Linked DNA regions of Cricetulus griseus. The protein of the gene in region 1 interacts with the protein of each later gene in a biochemical or structural test. Links are inferred from orthologs where the notes say so. Each region holds a gene or a part of one and is shown on either strand. Other genes may lie near its edges.

Region 1 (3,500 bases):
TTGATTCCAAGCGATCAGTCATTGCTGGCAAGGATGTTACTATGAAAAGATGGGGAAGAGGAGAAAAAGAACTCATAAAGAATATTCCATAAACATATCCAACAGTTCAGATGCTTATAATCTGCACCAAGCTTAGCTGTGACCTATGAATCAGGTGATACGGTGACAAGGTAATTAAGTGATCTGAGCACAGCGAGTATGACGTTTCATAGTCAATGTCAACTGGATTGGATTTAGAAGCACCAAGGAAACATACTGCTGTGTATTGCTTTTTGTTGTTGTTTTTTTTTCCAACAGAGTTTCTTTTCTTTTTCTTTCTGGTTTTTCTTTGTATAATTTGGAGCTGTCTGGAACTTACTCTGTAGACCAAGGATCTACTCAAAAGATCCGCTGACCTCTGCCTCCAGAGTGTTGGGATTAAAGGCGTGCGCCACCACTGCCCAGCATCCTCCTTTTTTATTACTTCTTATTTAGGTCAAGGTATCCATTAGAGAAACCATATGAAACTAATACAGATCCAAGCATTATACCTCTACTCCTAGCTACACTCATGAACCTAGGCTATCTACTAATGATAGGTTAAGGAAGATAAATATGAAAACCAGCATAAAGAGGGTTAAGGATGTATCTTAATGGTAGAACACACAGCATTCATGATGCCTTGGATTCCATTTCAATCAGCAAAACAGCAAAGAGATGGCTCTGTACTTGCAGACAGCTTACTTGCATACATGCACTTAGATGAATACTCTGAACTCTCTCAGTTCAACTGGTAGCTCCCCAAAACAGTAAAGAAAGTTTCTCTGTAGCTTTGAAGCCTTTCGTGGAACTTCCTCTGTAGACTTGCGCTCGCTCTCTCTCTCTCTCTCTCTCTCTCTCTCTCTCTCTCTCTCTCTCTCTCTCTCTCTCTCTCTGTCTCTTTCTCACACACACCATAAACAAATCAATAAAAATTTTCAGGAACAAGCTCACTTCTTAATTTATATTTCTATTTAGGCTTGAAAGTCAGACATCCCCCAAAATCATCCCTTCCTTAAAGCCTCCCCTCCTTAATGTGAGTTTTAATAAAACCAGCATACTTCGTTAAGGTGTGTACAAACCTTTGAGAGCCTTCTGCAATGTCTCCAAGCAGCTGACCAAATGCTGATGCCCTCCAGAACTCATTACAACCCTCTTCTCCTATATCAAATCACAAAATGATTGAAGCAAAAACATCAATGTTTCAGTTAAACACACATGTTATCATAGTAGGGAAGTTACAGACTGAAAATTGACTACAGATTCCTTTGAGACAAGGTTTCTAGCACAGGCTGGCTTTGCCTCACTATCTAGCAAAAGATGACCTTGAACTTCTGATCCTCCAGCCTCCACCCTCTGAGAACTTTTTTGGAAGGGGGGGGTGTCTTTTTTTTTTTTTTAATTTTCTTTTTTTGTTGTTGTTTGTTTTTTGAGACAGGGTTTTTCTGTGTAACCTTTCTGTAGACCACGCTGGCCTCAAACTCAGAGACCTGCCTAGATTTATTCTGGGATTTGGGACACTGCAAGTCAGGGGAATTTTCTGTGTAGCTTTAGAGCCTGTCCTAGTACTTACTCTATAGATCAGGCTGGCCTTGAACTCAGAGATCTGCCTGCCTCTGCCTCCTGAGTGCTGGGATTAAAGGCGTGCACCTCCAACGCCCTATCACATTAAGGAGTCTGAAACACTGGGAGTGCTGGGGGAGTTATTTTGTAACATTAATTTGTGTGTATGAGACAGACTTGTGTGCACACGTATGGACTTCAGAGTATACTGTCTAGGAATTAGTTCTGTACTTCCACCATGTGGGTTCTAGATCAAATTCGAGCCATCATTCTTAGCAGGAAGTCCCTTTTCTTGGTGAGCCATCCCACCAACCCAAAGTAATTTCGGGTCTGGAATGTCTCCTATAGCCGAGAATTGCCACTGGACTGAGATGAGAGGTGCACACCACAACCTGCTACCCTGTCCACCTACCCAAAGGAAGAAAAGTTCACACAGATAAAAACATCCACACTCACACGCAATAGTAAACCATGTATTCTACTATCTACTATAGGTCATACTTTGTGGGTGGGGGTATTGTTACTAATCCAAATGTCATTGGTGAGATCTACTTCCTATAAGTGACAACATCACCATGTCAGTGGTGACAAATACCTTTAATCCCAAGAAAATCTCTGTTTGTGAGTTTAAGGCCAGACAGGTCTACCTATGAGGGTTTCTAAGACTGGTAGGGCTATGAACTGAGATCCTGCATCAAAAAACAAAGCAAACACTTATCAGTGGTGGCTCACCCCTTTAATTCCAGCACTCAGGAGGCAGAGGCAGGTGGATCTCTGAGTTCAAGGCCAGTCTAGTCCACTAAATGAGCTGCAGGACAGTCAGGTCTACACAGAGAAACCCTATCTCCTTAGGAAAAAAAAAAAAAAGCATCCGGGTGGTGCATGCCTTTAATCCCAGGACTCAGGAAGCAGAGGAAGGAGGATCTTTGAGATCAGGGCCAAACGGGTCTATAAATCAAGTTCTAGGACAAGTTCTAAAGCTACACTTAGAAATTCTGTCTTGAACACCCCCCTAAAAAAGAAAACTTCCTGTGGGGCTAGGGAGATGGTTCAGTGATTAAAAGCAGCACTTCCTGTACTTGCAAAGGACCAGGGTTCACCAGTTCCTAGCTCTCACGTGATAGCTCAAAACCTGTAACTGGTGCCAGGATTCCCAACACCATCTTCTAAGCATCCACAGGGATTGCATTCACACGCTGAGTTTAGGACCACACAGGCAAACACTCAGAGTCAGAATTGAAAATAAATCTATAAGGTGTGGTGGCACACACACCTCTAATCCCAGCGTTAGGAAGGGAGAAGCCAGTGAGTCATTGTGATTTCAAGGCCTACATGGTCTGTATAGCAAGTTCCAGGCAATACAGTGATACCCTGTCAGAGAATAAAGAATAAAGGCTGGAGGGGCTGGAGAGATGGCTCAGCAAATAAGAAGTACTTGTTGCTTTTCAAGAGGACCCAGGTCTGACTCCAGCCACCCCTCAAGGCTACTCACAGCCATCTATCACAACCATCTGAAACTCCAGTTCCACAGGATCTAACAGATGTTCTTTTCTGACCTCCGGAGCCACCAGGTACTGACATGGTTCACATAAATAAAAGGACAAAACACTCAAACATATAAGTAAACCTAGAAAGTAAAAATAAACAAATCCCAATTCTTTTTTTAAAAAAAGGGGATGGGGGAAGGATGGTTCACAAATGGGTGACAAACAATTGTCACAGAGGCAGGAAGATTACAAAGTAATCAATTTAGAGTATGTATGAGACAAAGCAAATTATATAATAAGAAAAAGAAAAAGAGCATGAAATTGAAATATTTTTTTTGGATGGGGGCTGGATAGAGAGAGGGCTCCGTGGTTAAGAGCACTGTCTCTTCTTCCAGGGGTCCTGACTTCAATTCCCAGCAACCACATGGTGGC
Region 2 (3,426 bases), about 550 kb from region 1:
GCTGTGGTGCTTGTCTCTGCAGGTAGGCCAAGCTCTCGCCTGACCCTGGAGGAGGCACACGCAGTTCAATTTAACATACCTTTTATGGAGTACCTACTCTATGCCAGGCCCTGCACTGGGCACTGGGGTACAGACATGATTCAGACACAGTCTAGCTTGGGAAACAGACTCATGCCCGACTAATTATAAAACAGTGAGATAAGTGTCACAGTATTAGCATGAACCAAGAAAGCACAGACAACTATTTCTGCCTGGGAGAGCTGGGGAAGGAGGTGACACTTGAGTAGGGCCTCAAAGGGACAAGATAACTGCCAGGCATAGTGGGGGAAGGGCATCCCAGGCAGGGGGTACTACAGAGCAAAAAGCAAGGGAGCTTGGCCATATGTGGCTTGCTCGGGGTGGGAGGGTGGTCTTGAGGGGTGGGAGGTGGCCAGCCTGTGGCCTTGCTCCCAGCATTTGGGCATGCCCTGCTCTGGGGCAGAGGCCTGGGAGGAGGAGTAGCGCCCTCCTTTTCCTCCCCCATCACCCTCCAAGGGGCCTCAGGGCGAGGCTGCCTTGCCTGCCAGGTCCTCGCAGACCTCCGGGTCCTCGTCAGAGGAGGAGGAGGAGCTCAGGGAGCCTGCCTCACTGCTGTCGTCTTCCCCACAGACCGCTCGGGAATGGAGAATTCCGCTTCGGTGGAGCAGCTCCAGGAGACGCTGCTGCGGGCTCTTCGGGCTCTGGTGCTGAAGAACCGGCCCTCGGAGACTTCCCGCTTCACCAAGCTGCTGCTCAAGCTGCCGGACCTGCGGACCCTGAACAACATGCATTCCGAGAAGCTGCTGTCCTTCCGGGTGGACGCCCAGTGACCCGCCCGGCCGGCCTTCTGCCGCTGCCCCCTTGTACAGAATCGAACTCTGCACTTCTCTCTCCTTTACGAGACGAAAAGGAAAAGCAAACCAGAATCTTATTTATATTGTTATAAAATATTCCAAGATGAGCCTCTGGCCCCCTGAGCCTTCTTGTAAATAACTCTTCCCCCACCCCCATCACCATGCTCCCCACCCCCCCTATTTAAACCACTCTTGCTCTCCCACCCTCCTCCAGCCCCCCGATTTGTTCTGTTCCTGTCTCAAATCCAATAGTTCACAGCTGAGTTGGCTTCTGTGATGTGTGCTCGTTTGGGGGGGGGGTAGAGGGGACTACTGCCAAGGCTGGGGGGGGCACCTCTCCATCTGGTCAGCTTGTGGGGTGGGTACTCTGCCAGCAGATGGGAGAATAAGGGGGAACAGCACGCAAGTCTAAGGGGGGGGTGCCCAGGGGAGTTATTTTCATCATATATTTATTACATAAATATATAGTAAAATAGACGAGCAACAATTACCATAAAAATATCTTTCTTTAAAATCCTGACCCAAAACACAATGGGGTGAAAAATCGCACATAACAGACATACTGATTGTCAACTGTGGGGCAGGAGTAGGAGCCCCTCAAGTCACCCCTACCGGTCCCACCCCTCTCTGGGGAAGGGACCTATCTCCTTCCCTGTTTTCTAGCCATAACCCCCCCCCACCCCAGCACCAGCTTCTCATACATTCAGTAGCGCCTCTGGGTAGTGTCCCCCTCCACCCAGGAGTTCCTAGGGCAGGAAGTACGTTCCCCCTAATGGACGGTGTCTATGTCACACGCCCTGCCCTGCCCTCTCCCAGCCCTATAGACCCACCACCCAGGGAAGGGGTAGGGGCTCCTCCTCCCCCACCCTCCCCAAGTCTGAGCAGGGAGGAGGCTGGATGAGGTATGTGTGTTATAAGTGATGGGAGGGGGGAATACTGAGATGGAGAGGCAGTGGTAGGGGCAGGGTAGTGGTCATGGCTCTGGCACCCCCTTGTCCTGGCCTGGCCCCCCCCATCCTTCTCCCAGCAACCCATCCTCCCATCAATACTGCACCTGCTGCCCCACCTGGCCTGCCCTAGTGCCCCGGGCCAACATTGGGGGAAGGCATGCTAAGCACCCATGCCAAGACCAACCCCCCATTAGCACCAATGGCCCCCAGGAGAGGGCCCTGTCCCCCACTTCCACAGCAGGGACTGGGACAGCTGCCTCTCTAGAGCAGGTGCGTGGCACTCCTGAGTCTCTCTGGCTCCTCCCCACAACATGTACTCACTCATACAATCACACATAGGAACACACATACACTCCACATCACTGAGGGGAAGGAAGGGCTGAAGGGGAGGGGAAGGGGAAGGGCTGAGGGGAAGGGGCTCACAGCTCATATGACTTGGGGAAAGGGGGGGATTCCCAAGTGCCTGTAAGAGGCCATGCCCATGGCTGAGAACGGGAATGGAGAAGGAGGAGTGGAGCCAGGGAAAGGAGGGAGACAGCAGGCAGGTCAGGAACTCCACTGGGCCCCAAGGTATAGGAGGAAGGTATGAGAGGGTTTACCCATGGGACTGGAGGAATATGGAAATCAGTACCCCAGGAGAGAGAAAGAAGATAGAGACAAAGATAGCACAGGTGGCCCAGGGGCCCCAAGGGGTGGGGCAGGCACATGCACAGGTGACAGGAGATGCTCCTCCAGGCCCTCTGCCCAGTTGGAACACCTGAACAGTGGCAGAGGACACTGCCCTGGGGACAGTGAAGCACTGCCTTCCTCGTGTGTGTGTGTGTGTGTGTGTGTGTGTGTGTGTGTGTGTAGGGGCTGTGGCAGGCTGAGGGTCAGAGTGGGGTGGCAGGTTCCCCACTGCTTAAGACATTTTTGCCCCAATAGTGCAAAGCGCAGGAAGCCCTGGCACCCCTCCCCCGCCCCCTGCCCCATTCCCCATGGCTTCCGGGGGGCATCTATGTCCACCCATCCATCCCTGCCGACATGCAGCCCTGAGCCCAGGGCCACTGGTCTGCTCTGTTTCTCCCTCTCCTCCCATCCCTCCCACTCATGGGAGGGCCACCTCCTCCCTCCCTCTCTCTGCAGAGGAGTGGGCTGTAGCCAAAGGGAGGAGAAGGAGGAGAGGAGGGCAGCTCACCCAAGCGCAGACCAACAGAGCACTCCTCACCAGAGGGTGGGAGATGGCTCAAGCCAAAGTCCCTGAATTAGAAAAGAAGAGGGGAGAAGGTTCCCAGGGGCAGAGGGGTGGCTGGCCTAAAGAGCTTCAAAGAAAACAGGAGGAGTGCCAAATGCCTCCTCCCCTGGGCCCCTAAGTGCCACTGATAGAAACTCCCACTGCGTGCCAACCTGCCCTACGTCTGGGTTAGTGCATCAAGTGGGACTAAGGAGGGCAAAGGGAGCCCAGAAAATAGACAGGAAACAGAGTCCCACAGAGGCGGAGGTTCTGGGAGACACACATGTCCACCCCCACCCCCACCCCCTTGCAGCAGCATCTGGGTTGTAGCTAATACTGCAGGGTATGAGGAGGGAAGGAGCCTGGGCCACAGTTTTTCCTGTGTGTGGGT

The links.
Region 2: the proteins of Med1 (region 1) and Thra form a complex in vitro, tested with the Homo sapiens proteins (6 studies listed by BioGRID, with this or other methods). The link is inferred for Cricetulus griseus from reciprocal best matches to the Homo sapiens genes MED1 and THRA.

Annotation. Positions count from the first base shown.
Region 1 is NC_048600.1:111,303,112-111,306,611, forward strand, and holds part of Med1 (mediator of RNA polymerase II transcription subunit 1), read right to left. Parts: intron 1,180-3,500; coding exon 1,101-1,179; intron 40-1,100; coding exon 1-39. UniProt on the Homo sapiens protein: Component of the Mediator complex, a coactivator involved in the regulated transcription of nearly all RNA polymerase II-dependent genes.
Region 2 is NC_048600.1:111,850,355-111,853,780, reverse strand, and holds the end of Thra (thyroid hormone receptor alpha), read right to left. Parts: intron 912-3,426; coding exon 540-911; 3' UTR 501-539; downstream 1-500. Other genes in the region: Nr1d1 (nuclear receptor subfamily 1 group D member 1), read left to right, coding at 1-183.